Lytechinus pictus: one gene and its partners. The main gene of each other region encodes a partner of the protein of the gene in region 2 in a complex. Links are inferred from orthologs where the notes say so. Each region holds a gene or a part of one and is shown on either strand. Other genes may lie near its edges.

Evidence for each region.
Region 1: the proteins of NEDD8-activating enzyme E1 catalytic subunit-like (region 2) and NEDD8-activating enzyme E1 regulatory subunit-like are in contact, whole or in part, in a crystal structure (PDB 3DBR), measured with the Homo sapiens proteins. The link is inferred for Lytechinus pictus from reciprocal best matches to the Homo sapiens genes UBA3 and NAE1. Residues at the interface, in NP_003959.3 of Homo sapiens: Trp34, Glu35, Gly36, Arg37, Trp38, Asn39, His40, Lys43, Phe44, Glu46, Arg47, Ser48, Gly49, Pro50, Phe51, Thr52, Phe56, Glu83, Lys86, Asn87, Leu90, Ser91, Val106, Ser107, Leu109, Asn110, Arg111, Phe113, Leu114, Arg116; in NP_003896.1 of Homo sapiens: Glu10, Gln11, Lys12, Tyr13, Asp14, Arg15, Gln16, Leu17, Arg18, Leu19, Trp20, Asp22, Glu44, Lys47, Asn48, Leu51, Pro52, Gly67, Glu68, Ala70, Gly71, Asn72, Asn73, Phe74, Phe75, Gln77, Arg78, Ile81, Phe92, Glu95.
Region 3: the proteins of NEDD8-activating enzyme E1 catalytic subunit-like (region 2) and NEDD8-conjugating enzyme UBE2F-like are in contact, whole or in part, in a crystal structure (PDB 3FN1), measured with the Homo sapiens proteins. The link is inferred for Lytechinus pictus from reciprocal best matches to the Homo sapiens genes UBA3 and UBE2F. Residues at the interface, in NP_003959.3 of Homo sapiens: Ala401, Thr403, Thr405, Leu406, Glu407, Gly408, Asn410, Arg411, Thr412, Ser417, Val418, Thr419, Ser420, Ile421, Arg424, Thr425, Gln442, Glu443, Ala445, Ala447, Asp448, Val449, Thr451, Pro452, Gln453, Thr454, Leu456; in NP_001265234.1 of Homo sapiens: Thr27, Arg28, Arg29, Val30, Asp34, Lys35, Val38, Lys39, Val41, Ala42, Glu45, Val54, His55, Phe56, Pro57, Asp58, Pro59, Asn60, Leu62.

Annotation. Positions count from the first base shown.
Region 1 is NC_087246.1:57,534,712-57,542,670, reverse strand, and holds the start of NEDD8-activating enzyme E1 regulatory subunit-like, read left to right. Parts: upstream 1-4,958; 5' UTR 4,959-4,973; coding exon 4,974-5,126; intron 5,127-5,874; coding exon 5,875-5,937; intron 5,938-6,146; coding exon 6,147-6,362; intron 6,363-6,983; coding exon 6,984-7,117; intron 7,118-7,959. UniProt on the Homo sapiens protein: Regulatory subunit of the dimeric UBA3-NAE1 E1 enzyme. E1 activates NEDD8 by first adenylating its C-terminal glycine residue with ATP, thereafter linking this residue to the side chain of the catalytic cysteine, yielding a NEDD8-UBA3 thioester and free AMP.
Region 2 is NC_087247.1:8,072,486-8,080,242, reverse strand, and holds the start of NEDD8-activating enzyme E1 catalytic subunit-like, read right to left. Parts: upstream 3,004-7,757; 5' UTR 2,954-3,003; coding exon of another isoform or gene 2,775-2,953; 5' UTR 2,564-2,774; coding exon 2,550-2,563; exon of another isoform or gene 2,399-2,549; intron 1,899-2,398; coding exon 1,784-1,898; intron 1-1,783. Other genes in the region: PRA1 family protein 2-like, read left to right, coding at 2,775-2,953, 4,052-4,269, 5,505-5,644. UniProt on the Homo sapiens protein: Catalytic subunit of the dimeric UBA3-NAE1 E1 enzyme. E1 activates NEDD8 by first adenylating its C-terminal glycine residue with ATP, thereafter linking this residue to the side chain of the catalytic cysteine, yielding a NEDD8-UBA3 thioester and free AMP.
Region 3 is NC_087245.1:21,324,542-21,331,453, reverse strand, and holds the start of NEDD8-conjugating enzyme UBE2F-like, read right to left. Parts: upstream 3,002-6,912; 5' UTR 2,939-3,001; coding exon 2,858-2,938; intron 616-2,857; coding exon 453-615; intron 1-452. UniProt on the Homo sapiens protein: Accepts the ubiquitin-like protein NEDD8 from the UBA3-NAE1 E1 complex and catalyzes its covalent attachment to other proteins. Together with the E3 ubiquitin ligase RNF7/RBX2, specifically neddylates cullin-5 (CUL5).

The DNA.
Region 1 (7,959 bases), on a different chromosome or scaffold from region 2:
ATAGAATCATCTTTTAATTTCTTTCAGAAAGATATTTGACAAATTACTTGTGATATCCATGCTTTAGCTGTAGAGTTTAAAATCTTCATTAAACTTTATTTAATCCGTTGTTTATCTATTTTCATTCAGAGTTTCTGAAAACGTAAACATATCATTTGTATCATTATGTAAAGAATTTCAATCTACCTTAAAAAGTAATGCACTAAATAAACTGCTCTGTCTACTACACATGTACATATAAGTTTTGATTTTAAAGGTCAAGTCCTCCCCAGAAAAAAATTCGATTTGAATTAATAGAAAAAAAATCAACCGAGCATAATGCTGAGAATTTCATCAAAATCCGCGTCGGTTGTAAAATAGGAACGTTATGAAATTTTCAAGTTTGGCTTATTTTTCACAACACAGTTATATGCACAGATCAGTGACATGCAAATGAGACAGTCAATGATGTCCACATGTTCGGGGGGGGGGGGACTAATCTTGGTTTCACTTGACAATGAAGAGAAAATTTGAATATTTCATCTCGTAGAATTAAAAGAAATAGTTTGCATGCCGACTGGGATGTACATATAAGTTTCTAGTCAAGCAAAACTTTAAAAATGTCATAACTTAATATCTTTACATCAGATTTTGATGAAATTTTAAGTGTTACGCTCGTTGTGTTTTTCTCTTTTTATTCAAATCAACTTTGTGGGGGTGGACTTGTCCTTTTATATCGTTTTCAAGTAATTGTGTCAGGAGAAAACAAAAATGAAATTCTTTTATCAATTCTGTCCATATGCTGCATGGTTCATCGTTCTTGCAGGAGGCAAAAAATAAATTTATATAAGAAAGTCTTATTTTATTTACTTTCAGATAAAAATTGTGCTAAGGAGAGATTAAGGTTATGTGTAAGACAGGGGTGGTGGTAATGGTATGTTGGTTAAGGTTGTGTATGAAGAAAGTCAAGTGATTGCTTGCTTGTGCAGGAGGATATACTTCAAGAAACTTGTTGTAAGGCATAATGCAAAATTATTTATAATAGAACTTAATTGAGAGAAAAGTATTTGGCACGTTAAGATGCACAATAATGTACATGTGATTGAAGCAAATGAGAAATGAAAGGAGTAAAGGTAGCTACATGTGTCACTGAGAGAATTGCCTGTGGTGTTATATTTATAGCATAAATCTTTGTTTAAAAGTTATTTTATTTTAGGAAATTTAGTCCCTTCAGTTTGAAAGTATAGAGGGCGGACCATGGACCACTGACCATGGAAAAAAGTCCCCCCCCCCACCAAAAAAACACAAAATAAAAAATATTACCAAGAAAAGAAAGAAAGGTGAAACACATTATTTTCTGAATATTATGTCAAATCTATCACAAAATTGGATATTTGATATTAAAATTTTTAATATTTTTCCTTGCTCGCAAGTTTTTATTTTACCTGATATGCCATATTTAGCCCACTGATATTTCCCCAATTTCAAATATATTATTATGATTGGGTGGAATACCCTTTACACTTATCCAGGATTGATAAGTCTTTATTTTTCTGATAAGGAAATTGTGTTTCCTTTAAGGAAAAAAATACTGCAAGCATGGTGAATAGCTTGACCCCCCCCCCCCCTCCAAAGCAAACTGGAGTATATAGGTTAAGGTTGGGAATAATGCGATTGCAAGAGTGACCAGTGAGTGTGGAGGAGCTACCAATGAGTATCTCAGCTCCTTTTAGAGATGTTGGTAGAACTGACGTATAGAATAGGGAGGGGGGGCCTTGGGGCTCTTGCCCCCCCCCCCCCAAAAAAAAAAAAAAAAAAAAAAAAAAAAAAAACACGACCAAGAAAAAGATAAAAGAAATGAGGGTGAAATAGAATATTTTTTGATATTATGTGAAAATCTAACACAAACTAGGATTTTAATGTCAATTTAAAAAAAAATTTGCTCGCTTAATTTTTTTTTTTAAATCAATTTATCGAGATACACCATATAAAAAGACAAGAATAAAATGAATTGAAAATATTACTTCGAATGGGAAAGTCAATTCTGAGGGAAAGGAAAAGAGGCACGCTTGTGGACGCGAGATCAGATCAAGGTCATGTCGCTTCACCCCACGCGACGCTGGCCCCACCATTTACCAAGTACATAACCCAAACAAAGATTCAATTCCATATTTCCATTTTCTATCAAAGCTAGCTCCGGGCAAAGTTCCACCGGACTTCGATAAGGTAGGTAGGATTATACAATCAGATTGGTTATGATTTAATTCAAACAAATGTGCACTTGATCTAGATGTAATTGGCGTGTAACGTTAGATTTATTTTTCCGTAGATCTAAGTAACTTCCTCAGGCCTAAAACGCAGTTACGGCACGCTATTATAGGCCTAGATCCACGTCTAACTGCACTGTAAATACGATGGCGATCGATCTGGACTTCATATTAGACCAAAAAGGCAAAAAAAAAAAAAAACTTTGGTCTGTGTCATTGTTCCGCTGGACTCCGTTGCCTCCACTAACCAATTGAGAAATAAGAAATTGAAAAAAAATGTGTAAAACCCCCCGAAAAAGCCGGCTGCTGCAGCTGTCTAAAAAAGGTTAAAACTTCTTCACGTTGCAGTGCACCTACCACACGGTACCGTACATTGACGGAGTTTGAACTTCTCGATACGGTACGATGCTGCAGGCGCAGTCGAGCTAGCTCGCACGCAGGCAGCGCTAACGTTAGTCCGAACCTAAGTTGGTAAATATTAACAGATAAGTAATGACAATGTTCGTTGTCAACACCTCATTGCTAAGAAATTCAAGTTCATGCTGCTGATACATGATTTTGGGGTTGAGTTCTGCTTCCTAACTCATGTGATGCAATGGCGACATTTCATATGGCCCTAGCAGACGAAACTCTCAAATACGGCACTGGGCATGCTCAGTACTGCTTTATTACACTGAGCATGCTCAGTGCAGTGTTATAATAGTATGCTAGCTTCAGTCCATGATTTAATCCATGGACTAAAGTTATCACCGGGGTATAACTCAGCCGTGGGTTAAATTTAGCACCGGGTGCTAAAGTTAGTCCATGGATTAGTTAGTCCACCGTTTGTGAATAGCGCGGTGGACTAACTTTATACCCCGGTATTAGTTAACCCCCGACTAAATTTAACCCCGGTATAACTTTAGTCGACCTTTGTGAATTCGGGCCAAGATGAAATGAGATGAAGTACAAAGAGTTACAATTGATCTGTTCAGTCCATCAGTGTCATAATTTTTTCTGTAGGATATTTGCTCAATGTCCTTTGAAAACAAAGAGAAGCATACTGAAAGCTTGGCGTTTACCAGCAAAAATGCTGTCCTGCAGAGTTCCTACGAGGATACCATAAACAGAAACACAAACAAACAGAATAAACAGAATTGTCCAGAAAACAGTGAATGTAAGGATATACATCATTTCTAGAAAATATTTTGAACAAACATGTATGTATTTTAGATGACATTACTGGCTTTCTATAGTTGTGATTGATCAAATCAATCGCAACTCTTTACAAGAGGCCCCATTTTTGTCTCACCTGCATAGCAGAGTGAGACTATAGGCGCCGCTTTTCCGACGGCGGCGGCGGCGGCGACGGCGACGGCGGCGGCGGCGGCGGCGGCGTCAACACCAAATCTTAACCTGAGGTTAAGTTTTTGAAATGACAGCATAACTTAGAAAGTATATGGACCTAGTTCATGAAACTTGGCCATAAGGTTAATCAAGTATTACTGAACATCCTGCCTGAGTTTCATGTCACATGACCAAGGTCAAAGGTCATTTAGGGTCAATGAACTTAGACCATGTTGGGGGAATCAACATCAAAATCTTAACCTAAGGTTAAGTTTTTGAAATGTCATCATAACTTAGAAAATATATGGACCTAGTTCATGAAACTTATACATAAGGTTAATCAAGTATTACTGAACATCCTGTGCAAGTTTCAGGTCACATGATCAAGGTCAAAGGTCATTTAGGGTCAATGAACTTTGGCCAAATTGGGGTATTTGTTGAATTACAGCCATAAATTTGAAAGTGTGTTGGTCTAGTTCATTAAACTTGGACATAATAGTAATCAAGTATCACTGAACATCCTGTGCGAGTTTCAGGTCACATGATCAAGGTCAAAGGTCATGTAAGGTCAAAGAACTTCGGCCACGTTGGGGGTATTTGTTGAATTGCCATCATATCTCTATAAGTGTATTGGTCTAGTTCATAAAACGTGGAAATAAGAGTAACCAAGTATCACTGAACATCTTGTGCGAGTTATAGTAGTTTTCAAAATCAGCACTGCTGCTATATTGAATCGCGTGATGCAGGTGAGACGGCCAGAGGCATTCCACTTGTTCATATATGTTTATGAAAGAATAACTTGATGATGACAAGTGACTAGTAATGTGTCTAATGGTATCTAAAAATACCATTATTATTATTATTACTGCCTTATCAAGATGCACTGGTTTAAGGGGTAAGGAGATGTTCAGTTCAAGTGACTAGGCTTGGTAGGATGAGCCATAGTTCTTTTAAGTCTTGTTAGCTGACTCATTGAGAGGCTGGACTATGGTGGTTGGTGATTAGGCAATAATAGCAATTTGATATTTCTTTAATACATGGGGAGCGAGTAAAAATGTCAATGTGAATGACTGAAAGGATAACAGTAGTTATAAACTAAATAACATAAATAATAATTGAAGAGGCTATTAAAGTGATGGGTGACACTGCTAGTGATTCAACAAACTTGAAATTGATTTTGATTTTTTGTTGTTGAACCATCCTCTGAAGCACAACTGTATGTAAATTTGTTTATTATTGACAATGCTGCGTATCATACTTGGAGAAAGATACTATGAGGATTGGGCATTTGTGGTTATATATGAGATTTACAGAGATCAAACAAAATGTCTTTACTTGCCCCACCCTGAACCAAGTTTTACCTATTATTAAAAGTGGAAAAGAATTGCTGACAAAGCCAACATGGATTTAAAAAAAATCATAAGTCTCTTTTTATGTCTTTCAGTAATCGAGTCTCATCCAGACAATGCCCATGATGACCTGAGACTGGATCGTCCATTCTCTAGTTTTAAAGAGTTTGTCGGGTCATTTGATCTTGCTTCTATGACAAAACAGGTATGATATGGCCTCATAAAGGCTTAGAGGTGCCAGAAATAATTTTAATGCCACTATTTAATCGTCTAGATTCTTGGAATTCTGGAATCAAGACAATTCTGATACAGAACGACATCAGAGGCCTTTAAAATCAGTTGATGAAAAGCGATATATAAAGCTTATTTTCGAAACCTGATAGAGCTATTCTTAAGCAAAATACTCTATTGGCAAGCAGTGAAAATGCATAAACCTAGATTATAATAATTGCTGTGTTTTGTAAGTTTATAAGCTTCAATTAGTGTTTAAGACCCCTGTTACACAGGATCTCCTTTGAGACTGCTTTGGATTCGGTGTAAACGCAAATCTGCCCGAGACTGGTCTGAGAAAGGTTTGCTTGATGCACTACAGGTGGAACGATTATCCAAACAACAAACACAGCGCGTGCTTGGTGCCCTGCCAAACCTATCTCAGACAGCTTTGGTAAGTTGGTGTAAACGCACAGAAAGCTGTCTTGGGGTGCCTAAAGGCTCGTTAAGATTCCGGTGTAATAGGGGGTCAAAAATTTAGGTCAACTTTTTGGAAACCAGTCTCGGGTAGGAAATCCGGTAAAACAGGGGTATAATTTGTCAATATCACTTTTAAGTTCAGTCAGGGTCTTTAATGCCCAACAACAGTCTCATTTCAGGTTTGGTGCTGTGGCTAATGTAAAAATCATAAATTCAAACTGTAGTAGCAATAATCATGACCTTTGTTGATTTTATTATTACAGGACCACATGCATACGCCTTACCTTATCCTTTTACACAACTACTTGGAGGAATGGAGAAAAGAGGTAAGATATGATTGGATTTGATTATTTTTATGCTTCGGTAAGAATAATACAGTTGTCTGAAAACTGAGCATAGGCCTATGCAGATTGATTTTTATCATTCTTTCCCCCCCTTTACCTTCTGTTGTGTTTCCCAAACTCTCTCTTCTTTCGTTTGAGAAAGATACTAAAACAGAAGTATAAAGTGAAATAATATTTGTTTTGTTGAACAGCATGACGGTGAGATACCCAAGAACTACAAAGAGAAATCTGCCTTCAAGGAAATGATCAGGCGAGGGATTCTGGTCAACGAACATGGCGTGCCTGAGCTGGAAGAGAACTTTGATGAAGCCATCAAGGCTGTCAACGCTTCCCTGACGAAGACCAGGATCCCAAGCCAAGTCCAGGACATCCTGACAGATCCTGCCTGTACTAGTCTAACTTCAGAGGTAGGTTGGACTGCTTGATTCTCCCAAAGACCTCATGCATTGAGTGTCATCGCGCTGCCATTAGAGGCTGAAGCTATTGCCTTCAAACATTTGGGATCTCCAGCTGGCGCATCTCTGACAACATTGTTTACCTTTATTCCTATAAAAGGAGGGCGCTATAAGGTTATCATGTCATATGCATGAGGTCTCTTGATGTCAAACCACAAATTAGTTACTCAGCTATTACTGTGGTGTACAAATATTTAAATGTTTCCCAAGCATAATGGCCTGTATTCACAAAGGTAGTTTCACTTGTACCATGGTACAAATTCATGGACTATGTATGTTTTGTGCATATCATAACGCCTATTTCACTGTGAAAGAAGACTCCAACCAAATTTGTCCTTTTTGCAAAGAGGGCTTCATTTTTTGTTGTATGATGTGCAATAATACAAGAAATCTGCATAGTCCATGGTACAATTGAAACCTCTTTTGCAAAGTTAGTTTTATTTTATATAAAAAGCTACACAAAATCTTAGCAGGTTTTTACATAGGATTCTGTAGAACAGTGTTGAAGATTTCCCAAACAGCCTAAACTTCCAATTTGAGATTGAAGTTATTTTTTCTTCATTGTTTTTGTAGAGTTCAAATTACTGGATCTTAGCCCAGGCAGTCAAACAGTTCACTGAGAATGAAGGAAATGGAGCACTCCCCCTACGAGGATCTATCCCTGATATGACGGCTGATTCCAAGAGATACATACAGCTCCAAAATGTGTAAGCAAAAGCAAATACTGAGTTTTATTTTGTTTGTTATGGTGTCAAAATATGTTATGAAGTAAAGATTGATTAAAGTTATATATATATTTAAGGAGTTAAGTTAAAAAAAAGTTGTTACTGTTCACAACTATCATATGATTAGACTTCATCCTCTATGAAGATCCATCCCTCATATGACTACTAGTTTCAAGAGATACATTCAGCTTACAGTTACATGTACATACATGTCTGTCCTTTGGATAGGATGTTAATGAAGGCCCATGGAGAGGAGAGTCACCAGCTAGTTAAGAACCCACTGCACTCTACTATAAGACTACATGTAGTACTGGTGTAATGGTCCACCTGCACAACCGCTATCAGTTATATCGGGAGAGAGATCCGATGGTCATAGTGATTCAGTTTGATTTTTGCCTTCTTGGCACAGGTGGCGGCGCCAAACAAAATAATATATGATAATAGTAAATAATAGACAGTCAAGAATCTATTTAATTTTACATTATATTCATATTGGACATTGGTATTGACTTCAATAGTAGGTCCTGCTGGAGAGTGTTGAAAGAAAACAAATCAGATTTATCTCTATGACTGGAAGGGTGTCCAGTAAGTCTAAAAAAATCTATTTAGATTTTTGGTAGTGGTTGGTTATTTAATTTGATGGTGATATTTCAATTCAAATTCTAAAATGAATTTATGGAAAGTCAACTGTAGGGTTTTAAGATGTAGGTGTTTTATAGGGATAATTTTGTTCCATTTGCAAATGTTACAAAACCCAATGGCAAAAAACCCCGATTGTTTCAGCTACAGAAGTTGATTTTGTGGGATCGGAATGTGCACTGCAA
Region 2 (7,757 bases):
AATGCATCGTCAGAACAAGTACAGTTTCCAAACATGCTTACCTTGACTTTTGACTGGATCAAACAGCGTAACCTGCAACATGCATCGGGAGCAAGTGAATGGGACCGTGCAGCTTGGAGTTTTTCAATAGTTAGTAGAGCAACACAACGAAGACTGTCGAGTGGACAAAATCAATCTTTCCAGTTCACAATTCAATAAAAACCGGGCAAAATAACACAGTTCTGGTTCCCTTATAGTCTGAAGTTGTCGAAAACAGAATTCGGATATCACAATACATGAAGAAAACGGTAAATTCGAAGAAAAATAGAGACCAGGAAGGTGAATCAGCTATCAGTGTACTGCTGGCTTGAACAGAGCTAGAGAGCGGCTGAGTGAGTCGATCATCATGTGACGTCATTATTCTCGACTGTATTTAATCGCGTTAGTGTGTGTCTGGGGGCGGCTGGGGGGCTGAGAAGGGTCTCTAATAATTTCATATCTTGCATTTCCACGACATCAATAAGACTTTTTAGTGACATATTTGTGTATAAAAAGACAAGACCTTTCCATTCATATATAATTTGTCTATAATCATCACTTTCGTGAATTTTCTTTGGATGTATACTTTAATAATAATAATAGTCAGTTCTTGTATAGCGCATAATACATTATGAATAACGTCTAAATGTGCTTCCAAAGGACTTGGATATTATTATATACCTTCTTTGTGATTAAGTGATATTTAGTGATTAATAATTGTTCCACAGAAATCTCCTACAGGTCTTTGTGACATTTGTTCAATTTTATCTGAATCATTATCATTATTTACATTTCATCTAAATTTCAGTTAAATTGGTTGGTTTTACAAAAAGTCTGTTTCTGTAGCTTTTCTTTGATGTTAATTTAAATTTCATGCAAATGATTAACAAATTGCATTTAAATTTAATTCCAATTTTTAAGTAATGATTGGTCCACAAGAAAATCTCACTCTGTGATATTTCTTTAATTTTATCAAAATTCAATATATATCATTATTACTATTTAAATTTCATTCTCAATTTCATTAAAAATGACAAAGTATATAACTGGTCCATAAAAAAATATGTTTGTGTGATATTTTCTGATGCCTCATACCCTATTTTACTGACATTTTTCCCCCTTAGCTTTGTCAAAAATTGCTGAAATGAGGGTTAACTAATCATATAAAATAGAAAAAAAAATTGAATCAATACATAGTCATTTTATTACCTTTATTACCTTTATTACCGGATCTACTGGAAAAATGCAATTACTTATGCAGTCGTGTTTCCAGGTCTATCACTGTTGCTATCTCCATCTAACTATTAAAATAACGTGTGCCTGTGTGCTGTGCCAGAGTTACTATTCCCAAGGGTGAGTATATTGCACTGCAGACCAAAACTTGTCTAACTGTGACTTGAATCTGTTCAACGTTGATGTAGTAACTATCTCTGCCGGCAAGGAGTTCCAGTCATTTACAACTCTGGCACTGAAAGTATTTTTTCTAACATCCAGTCTGCTTCTCTTCACATACAATTTGCATAGATGTCCACGTGTTGTCTGAGTTGATGCAGATGTAAAGAACATCTCCTTGTTCAAATCATCAATGCCATTGATGATCTTGTACGTCTGTACAAGATCTTGTACATATCACTATGTGCTGGTGAGTGGTCTGCATACCAAGCAGGTATTTTTGAGATGATTAAACATAATAAAAGATGAGGCATTATAATTCAATAAAAATTCAACCTTTAAAAGCTTAAATTTTGAAAGATATAGAGCCTACCTCTGAACTTGGCTCAAATTCTGGAGTAGCCAAAGGTCCTGATCTTTCCAATAGTTTTCTGATGTGTGTCCATCGTCCTGACCAGTCTGCTGTTTCTGGACTGTCCACTGTCATCCTGGAAAAAGGTAAGAAATATGATAAATTCACTCAGGGTTGCTTTATACATAACTGATTTACTTTTTAAAGAATTGGACATTCCTGTTTTTGGAAACTAAACACTTATTTGAACCTGAGTTCAACTGCCCTGATTTTCTAAAAGAAGTTCTTGCTTCAACAACTTTCAAAAGTGACAAAAGCATGAAACGCGATGAAGTTACTTCGCAAGTTACCAAAATCATGCGAACATACTGCAAACGTAAGGGCGAGCTGTCGTACTTTGCTAACTTCAGTCCATATCTGCATTACAGTGAATCCAAGAGAAGCGCTGTCTGCATGAAAATTTGAATGACAACATAGAGATCTAAGCGAAGCGGACAGCAATTCCAAAAACCCAATCGCGAAATTCGGAAAAGCATTATTGATCTTGATTTGAGACTTGCTATGATATTTGTGAACAATTACTGGTGGGGAAATTATCTCAAAGTCGGCCGGTGCGAAGCTGCATTAGCGCCAAGTAGAGAATCGGGGCCCCTGCAAGAAAGCCGCAGTCACTCACATTCAATCGCGTCCGCCAGTATCATACTCTGGACCTACATCACAATTATAAACATATGGGACTGTACAACTCAACAAAAGCACAACCCCAACATAATTGACAAATACGTACGGTTCTTCCGCCATTTTTACAAATTGTAGATACTATTCGAAAGTTCAGAAGCTATAGAATGTATTTTGGATGATCAAAAATATCAAAATAAGTCCTTTGTGGAGAGTTTGACATGAATATTAGCAGAAGTTTCCCCCACAAGTTCTGGCAGAGATACTAGTCGCAAATGTTCTCCGACTGCTGCCGGAGCTGGCGCTCGTGAAATTTGACGTCAACATCGCAATCATGGATGATATTGAAATCCCTCCTCTTCGTTCTTTGGATGATTTCATCAAGGAATCGGCCAGATTTTCTGCCCCAGCCCTAGGAAATCCAACCAGATGGGCCAATCGGGTGATAGATAATTTATTGTACTACCAATCGAATTATTTCCTCACTCTTATCGTCATTTTCCTTATTGTTGGGTGAGTGCGTTGCCCCATGCACCTTTATTTGTGTTGGAAAATTGATGAATGATGTTGTTTGGAATGGGCGTGGTCATCACTTCTTTTATTTTATCAGGTGTCAGCATTTAATCAAAGACTGGTTTCCCAGATGTTTTAGCAAACAGATTAAAGTTAAACAAAATGTTGAAGAAGCTCTCACACATAGTGCATGAGTGGATCGTAATACCGAACACTGTAAATATCAGTGTACCGGTATGACTATGAATTCAATCATATCAAACACAAAATTCTTATAAAATTCAACAAACTCATACTCTTAACATGAATACACAAAGAGCTATGACATATTAATATGTAAACATTTTGCCGAAATCATTTTTCTTTTTTACGATATCAGCTACTAGTCGGACCCCTCTTCGCATGTGAAATATATTATTTTTGGTCCCTTGAAAATGGTATTGTAATTACCGAACATGTGTTTTCCATGTAAAAGTTGAAAAAACAGCAAAATCACTGATGTTGAGAATATAAAGACTTAGAAAATGTGTTTTTGACCATTTTTCATTATCCTTCTATTCAAGTTCCATTTGGAAGGATATTGCAAAGCTTTTAGCTTATGAAATTATTTTCTGACGCCTATGATTCGTGCGTTTGGTAATACAAGGAATGGAATATGGAATATGATACTAGTTGTCATCAGACTACCCAAAAATATTTTATTAGAATTTAGATCTAAGCCTTGAAGATTGTTATTGTTTGAGAAGACAAAGAAAATGAAAATAATAGCAAAATTACTGCTGATTATATGACAATCTGATGCATTTAGTAAAAATATTTATACCCAAGTCATGCATGTTCTGACAAGTTGTAGGCAATATGAAAATTTCATGCACTCTGCAAGCAATATTTCATAAAATGAAGTTTGGACAAAATTTCAGATTACAAACTTTCACATACATTTGTGCTTGACATTAGTTTTTGTTGTAATCAAGGCATAAGATGATGCTTTTATCTACTAACATGTCAGGACATTGCCCCCCATAATTATAAAGACAAATATATCAATATTGTATGAATACAATGATATAGTTGGCCATTTCCTTTCATATTCTGCAGCTGTATAAACCCTGTTCAGATGTTATGGGGCTTAGCCATCGTGATCGCAGCATTCTTCGGATTTGGTTACTGGTCTGCCAATAAGAGAGAAGTAAACGATTTCAAGAAAGCCCATCCAGTGATCTGTCTAATTGCACTCTGCTTGGTGATCTGGCTTTTCATGTATCTCTTTGGAAGTATTCTCGTTCTCATCTGGGGCTTGGCTGCACCAGCAGCTGGTAAGACTCGTGGGGCATTGCAAGAAAGTTGCAGTCAATTCGGTGGATTCACCATACGGTGCGGCATCTATCGGTTGCAGCAGACAGGCCAATTTCTAACTTCGGGGTCGACATGACGCGCAGGCGCAGGCAGCGCACAGTGTTATGTGACTGATTCTTCAAAAATGAAAACCATATGGCATGAAGCAGAGTAAGAATTCATCAAAAAACGGTCTAAATTTCGCAAATAAAAATGCAGTAAATTTCCCTCCCACCTCCTGGACCCTGGTACACTGCATGATTTTATGGAAGCCGGCCAAACCGCATCAGCCAGTGCAGCATTTCGCATGCATGCACACAACAGAATAGGTGATACACCATATTGTGAATCCACCGAATTGCAAGTCAAGTTTAGGTCCCAATATCAACCATAACTCTAGCAATTAATGCTTGCCTGCTCGTCTGCTTCTTGCAGTAAGAAGTAAACATCAATTTTGCTATAGTTACAATCGATAGAAATTTACAATTGATTGCAGATATTTTCTTGTGACACTACATGTATTTCAGAAACCTTTTGTTTGAACATATGGGTCTCAAATGTTTTATGACAGCAACAGTTACAATGAATTTAGGCCTACTACAAAAAAATGTTAAATTAGAAGGCTAGGTGTCCAGACACATTACTTCCTATCTTTCAGGAAATATTGAGTAATTCCGTTCAAAGAGGTCAAATTGTCATGAGGAAGTTGAAAGAGGAATCCCAATAGTTTTTTTAATCAATGGGTTTTTAATTTGCCGGTAATATTTTCATTTGTTTATGATTCACATGTACACAGTCATGTGTGTGATCTTTAGGCAGAATGGTCATTCACATTTCGGACTTTACATTTCAATAATTTTCAGGCAAGGCCATTTTTCTCAATGGGAATTTTTCTATATAATGGCATAAATGGGAAACCTATGACTTTGTGCTTATAAAGTAATCTTTACAGACAGTGAGGGAAGTACATGTATGAAGGCCAATCAATAGGGTATCTATAGCTTTGGATTACATCAAGCACTACGATGATTGCAGATTTCTTGAAAGTAAGAGCGCATGTGTAATTCTGAAGGAAAAAAATATATACAGCAAGTCCCTGAGGGTGCACACATCATTGGTGGTAATGGCTTCCTGAGTGATTTTAATGATGGTTTGCATTTGTTTCAATTTTTTTGTGTGATTATCAGAATCTTCATTCTTCTTTGTCTTCCTACAGTGATCTTCATCCACGCCTCCCTGCGGATGCGCAACATGAAGAACAAGATGAGCAAGAAGCTGGAGTCCCTTGGTCTAAAGAGAACACCCATGGGCATCATCCTCTTTACCATTGGTCTGGAGGAGCAAGCAAGGTCATGACTAGAGAAAATGGGGTTTCAACTGTGCAACCAGAGACTGCTTGAAGGCAACGAGCACACCTTCAGGCATCGTTTGGAGAGAGGCGAGGAGGTAGAGGGAAGCTGGTACCACGTACCTCACGAAGGAGAGGTAGTCACTCCCCGTCAACAATCATTTCGTACATTGGCGACTTTAGGAATAATTATGAAGACCCTTCTCCCATCAAGAAATAAGTCTTCTTCAAGTAAGTCATCTGAAAATCGTTCGTCTGGAAGTAAACTTTCGCAAAATCGTCCACAATCACTTGCTCCTGTTGAGCTGGCACAAGAAGCAAAAGAAGATGTTGTTACTAAACAACCAAGAAAAATAAAGTTTAGCTACAAACCTAAATTGGATTAAGAATCAATATATTACAGATCATTGACTCTGGCAAAAGGTTGGTACTGTTATTGAGTAATAAAAAAAACCACTTTTACCGGAAGCCAAGAGTATTTATGGATAACTATTTCAAAGTATAACAAAACTATATATTATTCAGGGTTTATTAAAATTACACAATTGGATGTTCTTTCAAAGAATGTCATCTCCCGCTAGATGTGGCACAACTGAAATACAAGTTATTCACAAAATATTGTACGGGGTTTTGTACATTGCCCTTGCATATTTGTGAAAATCAATTTCATGGACAAGTATACAAGCTGTACTTCTTTGTATTAAAACAATTGATGAGTCCAGACAAGTAGTTTTGATACAGTTTGCAAATTTTGAACTTTACAATTTAATATTTATGATAACAGTATTTATACATGTTTAGCCTATAAATAAGCTTATTAATAAATGCAATGTGTCAGGACTGTTTGTTGTGAATGGGAATTATTATTTTTTATTTGTAACAAGTATCATATACATGTAGTTGTTATTCCTACTAATAATGGATTCATTATAATTTTATAACTTAACTAAGAATGGGATATATCTTTAGTAGTTTAGTCTAATGGGAAACATGCTTATGGTCACAGATATATGTAGTGAATGGTATTAGGTGGTCAGGTGAAGAATATAGAGGGAAATGTATGAAGAAAGACACAGCCAAAGTAAAAAGAAAGAAATAGTGCATATATATTGTTTTCATGGTGTTCCTTCTTCACTTCAACTCATATGGACAGTAATAGTAATTGCATACTTGCCAAGAATGTATCAATACATCCTAAAAAACTAAATCATTAAGAAGTATTGTCTATGTATAAACAGTAGAGAAAAAAATTTCAATATCTTTCATTTTCTTTGAATCTCCACATTTCCCCATTTTGCAATTTGTGAATATGAAGGTATATTAACATGCCAGTGAATGTTCATGTAATATATTTGTATGATAACAATGAATAATATAATGTGTAATATAATGTGCAAAGTATGTCTATAACTTTTGGACCAGTACAATGCCATGATGGCTTTCTATTTTTGTCAATCTCTGCCTGCATTGTGCTTGCTTGGCTTGTTATGAAATTTCATGCTTTTGCTGATCATGGGTGAAAATTCATGTTTTGTATGCTATATTCCAGTTCAAAGAATAAATTAGTTGGCATTCTTATTTGTTGCAAGTCCTAATCAGACCACTTACCCGTGTATATTGAATGAAAGTATTAAATTTTTCTCTCATAAACCAATAAATTATCATTCTCAAATAGTGAAAATTTTCCACATGTTAAATGCCTGGATGCAGCCTATGAAGATGGTGCAGAATGCCTATCAAAATAATTGATTTAATTCCAAATACTAGATGGTCATTTATAAAGCATCTTAAGGCAGACAATTTCAACTGAATACCAAAGTTGGCAAAGTGAGTTACAAATGGAAGTCACTTTAGAAGAATATTTTGTAATTTCTGATTTGAATATTGAAAGTAAAGTGATATGACTATCTTCAATTGTGTTACAGTATGTGAGCACTGATAACCATAAAAATAAAAGTTATAAATGTAAGGATTTTTTTTGTATGTTATAATCAATTCATCGCTAAGTATATTTGATGAATATGATGATGCAAAATGAATAACTGCTTTGTTTTTCAGCTTGTGAAATGAAAAAATAATATGAATTTATTGTGGAATTAGAGATGACAAGACATGCATGCA
Region 3 (6,912 bases), on a different chromosome or scaffold from region 2:
ACCTCACATTCCAAGCTTATGATAAGTGTAGTGCCTGTAAAATATTTATTCACCTGTGAAATTTGAAATTCAGATTTCTGGATATTAAGCTCAAGTTCTTTATAATGTTTTCCTTTTTCTTTAATTAATTGGAACAAAATTTAAAGATTACATATCAGATAGCCAGTGCAACGTACAAACAAATATTTGGTCAAGATCCCACGCATAACAACTTGACATATATCAAAAAATTGCCAAAATAATCTCACTCAAACATGTTTTTATTGAATTATTCCTATCAGTCTTACCATCAGTTTAAAGATATATATTACAAACTGAAATAGTGACCATCACATGTGCAAGATTTAGGATAGCTTTGAAAGAGAATATTACAAGTAAATCTCTCCTAGCTTTTCTTTTTATTTTATCTTGTTTTTTTTTGTAGTTTGTTTGCTATAAACTTATTTCCTTACTTGGTAAGCTGGATGTCATTTCAGGCACTTCTTTAACAAGCAATCTGTCTCGTATGGAAACTCGCTTTGTTGAATTGTTAAGGTCTGTGGATTTGGAGTTTGAACCAGTTGACTTCCTGGCTGCATCTTCCTTTAATTTCTTTGACAGAGTAATCATCATTAACTGTAAAGATACAAGAAATTCATTTCAAAACGATAAACAGAGCTGCTTGCAAAAAATAAAGAAATATCCTCATTATGCATATGATATTGGAATATTTTGTGTTTCGGGTAGTTTAGTGGCACCATATACAAGTACATGGTATTTTGGGCTATATATCTTACATTCAGTTGGACTTGTCAATAAGGACATAAAAGAAGAAAGTACCTTGATATTTTTAATGCCATATTCAAAGAGTGCATGTAGATCTATATGGTTAAGTCATGGCAAGTCAGATGGGGGGGGGGGGGGGCTTGGGAGGGCTCTAGCTCTTGCCAAAAAAAAAATCATGACTAAGGCAAGGGGCAAAAATAGAAAAATAAAAGAAAAGGAAAGAGAGAAGAGTGGAATATATAATTTTCTGAATATCATGTAAAAAGATCTATCACATAATTGGGTTTTTGATAAAATGTCAAAATTTTGGCTCACTCACTTTGCTCGCTCGCAACTTTTTATAACTTTTACGCGAAAGTCGATACGCCATATCCACTCACACGTATTGCAAGGTTAGTATGCTAGACTAACCTTGCACACCCGTGTTTGGGTGTGGATTTTTAAGAAGTTGGCAAACATCGCTTCATTACAGAAGTAATGTTTGCCGAAACTTCTTTTTGCTACGTACCGGGGCTCTTCCCAGTGAGTCGCTATACTATTTTAATTTTTTTACCATTTTTATATATCAAAAACACACAAAACAGAGCAAAATTGCCTACCTCGGCTTGGAAAGTGGTTTCGCATGTCTCTTCCACGGAAATAAAAGGAAGCTTGATGGTCGCGCTAATAAAATTCACAACCTTAATTCAGCTCATCAGTAATTTAATAACTGTGTCTAAAATTCATTGTTTGCGCAATTCCTATGATTGCTTCATAAATTATAGGTCTATACACGTACACCAATAAATAGAATACCTTCAAAAACATACTTTTAGATTATTATTGCTGATGGAAATCATTTAAAGAGACAACAAAATTAAACAAAAATAGAAAAATTCTTTCTGCCTTGAACTAGACCAGCAGTGCAAGCCTTCATTTGCCAACAAATGGTCCATCAATGTCTATACAATGAAAAAACTGGACACTTTGCCGACTTCGCTAACGCATCGATTTCGATATATGAATATAAATCGCATGCCCTCTTACCCTTAGACAAAAAACTCAGAATCTGCTAGTGATGTCCTCCAAAGCTCATTAAAGAGAAGAAAAAATTGTTAAAATTTCCCCAATTGACGAATATTTGGGAAAAGTGGCTTCATATTATCATTTGGGAAGTCTCATACCGGTACCAAAATTTGATTTGATTTAAAAATAAAAATAAACTTCGCGCAATCCAATGGAAGTGTTGCATGCATTGTGCTAACCCATGTTACGATTTTTAACAAAAATGGCCGATCGAAACGGGGGTAGAAGGAGAGAACTTTTCGTTTTTTTGAGGTTCCAGTCTGTGCCCAGATGTCAGGAAACTGCCACTTGTTAGACCTTCATCCATATATAATCGTGGTAATTGTATACTTTCTGTTTTCACAATTCATTTGGAGAAATATTTTGACCATAAATCACCCTAGTCCGGTGAATATGGTCAAATACACGGTAAGCTTCTGGGCTCCCGCCCGCGCAGCGGGCGGGAGCTCTCTGGGTTAGCGTTGTGCCTGTGCATGGTTGCATGTAACTATTGTATGGGTGCGCCAACGCGCCAGCCGTTGTAGCAGGCCCAACGTTAGATCTAACTTTAGATCGGCCTCTAACGTTAGTCTTTCTAGATCTATTCCATTTCTAATTTATCATCTAACTTGACTAGAGTTAGATCTATCTAGTATTAGTAATACGTTAGCCCCCTCTTATAATTATATTAACTTGGCTCATAATTTTGTTCAATACGACGTATTCTCTTCAACAGAGTATGCTACATTACAATTTGAATATCTATAATCTAACTCCAAAAACTTCTATTAGACATTGCAAAAGAAAATGCAATATTGCGACATGCACAAGAATCGATCCGTGGCCGTGAGACTGATGAGAGAGATGTGAATGTGACTGTGAGTGTGAGACTGAGAAAGGCAGCGGGTAAGGCATGCAGCGAGCGCAAAGTGAATGACAGACTACTATACCGTATTACCGGTACCGTATTACCGGTACCGTACTCCCGGATAGATTATATTTATATTTTAGGAAAAATTTACAGCCTGATTGCATTATTCTCACTCACGTGAATTGCATAGGAAGCACACCTCTCTTTATTTCTCTGAATTATTTGCACCAGCTTCGAGTAGAATTGAAGAAGTAACATAGAACTATGGCTTGATGGTCCCTGATAAAAACATGTCTCTTGCTCTTACCAAACAAAACAAACCAAATTAAAATTGGTCTGAAGCTTATGGTATTGTTGAGTCTTCAAAGAAATCTAGAAAATAAAAATAGACAGAGAGAGAGAGAGAAAGCAGCTGGGAAAGTTGTTGGGGAACAGAACATTCGCTCATGCCAAGGTGCTAATTAGTCATGTTTATTTTCTCGATTTATTTGAAGCTACAACAATAACAAATACTGGTGAAAAATATTCAGAGAAATGAAGAGAGGAGTGCTTCCTATTTTCCAAAGGGGGAGGGGGCATATTTTCCCAATCGGACAAGCAAAAAAAAAAATGTTGTCACTAAAAAATGAGAAGGTCAATGTGTCCAACGTAAAATTTGACTCGTAAAGGGGGGGACACAGGCCGTAATGTCCCCCCCTGGATCCGCGATTAGACTGAAGTTACTGATAAGTAATAGACCTATTTAGCTTTATTTTTATAAATAAATATTGGGTATTTCAGATAAAGAGCTTGATTCCAAAAAAGGGGCTAAATCCAGTTTTGACCAAATTTTTTTTTATTTTAAATATATGTATCTTAGACATGGGAATCCAATGCACCACCTCGCATATGAATTTTTTTTTTGGAAGATTGATAAAACTTGATTGCAAATTTTAGTTTTATTCCTAAAGGAGCTAAATCCACTACCGGGTCATTAAAATTGGTTAATTTTACTACTTTACATAAAGTAATGCATTCAAATTTTAGGTAGGCCTATATGTTGTTATACAAGCTCACACCATTTGTGAATATTTTATAGAAATGACATAATTTTACTATTTTTATGAACATTTTTTAGATTTAGCTGCTTCAACATCGAAAAGTAATCGTATTTAGAAAAAATGGAAAAAAATCTTTTAAAATTTTCAATGGAAAAACATCAGATATGATGTAAAATCTACTTTTTAGCAATTTTCATGTGTTTCGTGTTCAATTTATTAACCCTATTGGGTTAAATTGGCAAAAATCATTAAATTTACTGTATCTTATAAAATATTTGTGCTATCATGATGAATTCGACAGCAAACAATTGAGTATGTCATGCCCCTTCATCGCATTGCTTTGCCATCGGGAGCTGAAAAATATTTAGGTGTCATTTTTTTCCCCAAAAAAATCTTCATATTTTACACAAATTAAAAATAATGAAAAAAAAAGCATTTCATATTTGTGCTAGTTACTTCTCAACACAAGCATTTCAGATTACACTTTTTTGTTCAGTGGTGATCACATATCATGATAGAAAATGTAATATAAATCATAGATTTGACATTTATCCGGGACATTTATCTATTTATATGAAACGCTGTTTGAAAATATAATTAAAAAAACAATATAATAGGGCCTACATTTGGCACAAATATTACTTCATTTTCTTCAAAAAAATTCTACCTGAAATAATTAATTTCAACGGCATCCCAATCATGTGAAAGAGCTTTTAAAAGACGCTCTTTCATTTTGATACCAAATTTCCTCATGGTAGTATTTATATGTCTGAAGATATACACCTGAAGTAAATTTTACGATGTTTGGCAAGCGAACAAATTTCACTGAATATGGGTGTATGTAAACTTTTGGTCTCATCATGCCTTATCATGCCTTAATCGCAAATACAATAGACAAATGACCTATCATTGTAAAGCTTAGGGTTTCCTCTTTCATTTGAAATAACTTAGATTATTCCTCATTCATGCATGAGTGCATGAGCAAAAACAATTTGGAAAAAAAAAAAGTCACTTGGCGGGCGGTATCTGAGTTTCAAAAAGAAAATCACATTTTTAAAAAGTTCAATATCTACTCTTTAATTTGATACCTCAATTACAGAAAACGGTCGGGAAATAACTAAGTTCTGTTTAATGGAAATAAGGCTTAAATTCCAATAATTTTACAGGATAGCTTTTAGACTTATTCGACACTCCGTTTTGTTGACGATCAGCCGTGCAGAAAGTCTTTTTATTAACTGTGCGATATAGCTTGGGTGGGAAACCGGTGAAAACACGTATGTTTCATGGAATTATGGAAATGCAAGCATTGTTTCGAAGAAACCTAACTTTGTTATTTCTTGACCATTTTCTGCGATTTAGCTATCAAATTAAAGAGCACGAATTTAACTTTTTAGGCATGTGATTTTCTGTTTGAAATTTTAATACCCTCCGCCAAAATGTTTTTACTCACGAGCTCATGCGTGGATGAAAACTATTATATGTTATACCAGCAAAAAAAAAAGACATTCTAAGCTTTACAATGATAGGTCATTTGTTTATTGTATTTGTGATTAAGTTATGATAAATCATCGCTTAACATCGGGTTCGTTTTTGTGGGTCGCACGGTATAATGCAAGGAGAGAAGCGCCTAACTATTAATATAAGGCTATGGATTTTTACCCCGCGTATTCCTCGTTCTTCGCTCTCTTATGGGAAGGCAGAGGGCGACACTTTGATTTTTAAGTCGTAAAAAATAAGGGGAAAAGAAAGAAGAGAATCAGACAGAGAAATCGGTGTCGGTTATTATCAGTAATATTCAACTGAGAAAAAATGGCATGTCTTGCCCCAGTAATTAGAATAGGCTACAAGCATATAAATTCGACAATAATGTTTAACTCCATTTATTTTAAAGTTCAAAACAACCTTGCTTCTATAATGATTATTTTCTGAACGATAACACATTTGGAGTCGTGCTTATTTCCAATTTGAAGCATGAAGAATTTGCCAGAGGAGCAAGCGAATTGCGCCAGCTCGAGTTGGGTAAGTTTTATTATGTGAGGAAAGCATCGTGTTGTCAATAGTAAAGAATAATTTACCAGGGCAAGCGTTTGTAGCCTGGGCAGAAAGTTCCATATGTGCTCTCACGGGTTTAAGGTTGCATTATTTCGAGCATCGTGTACTCCGCTGTTTGCTGCACATCTGTGGTGCAGATAGTGAGAAGAGCAGTTTAAGGATACTTGTGGTAGCTTATATTATGAACGATGCAATGAGACTGCTCCTTCGGTTACTCAGACACTCTAGTGCTAGTAGAATGTTTGCTGATGCCCATGTACACTCATGTCAAGCAGTTTTTAGAAACTTAACTTTTAAGTTTATTGAGAGAATTGACATTTCTCAAAATACTAATGTAAGTATATTTTTAAACCCACTGCAGAGCTGTACGCCATACATCAGAACTGTGGAAGCATTGATGTAACAATCTAATGGCAGAGTCATGAGTCTTGATCTACTAAAATAGTTACGTATATTTGTCTTTTGTTGAAACAAGTTTCTCATATAACCATTTGTAAATATTTCCATTGTACTTTTCATACATTGCTGTAATTTTGTTTTATGTATTAATTATTTATTTCTAGTAATATTTTAGTGTGATTATTTTATACCTTGTTCGATACTCTCTATACATAATTATTTGTTCTTTGTTTAATCCAGTTTTATCTCTGTATATATGTCTGTCTTAATGTATAGTATGATATTTGTTCATATGGACCTCTGCTTAGCTGTGTCTGGAATAAAGTCTTGAAAATTGAATTAAAATTACTCACCATTTTCAGGCGCGTATCCAGGTTTTGCATCCCGGGGGCCCCGACCTAATTTTAGCGCCCCTTAGAACTTTTCGGAAAATGGCGCCCCCACCCCGCCCGTCAAACATAGGTAAATGCATGTTGAATTATCTTATTTTATAATCACGTGAACAAAGGCAATCAAAGACCACTTTTATTTAAGATGTTTATGAAAACAAATATCCATGAATATGTTGTAATACCACTTTTTGAAAATAATAAATGCGACCAGGAGATCGTTTCATGAAAGGACTTGACAGACGTTTTATCCGACAATTCCTGTTTTATTCGACAGTAACTATAGGAACGATGTCTCTTTTTAGCCAATCAAAGTCAAGAAAAGATGTCAGATCTGACAACTTGTCGGACA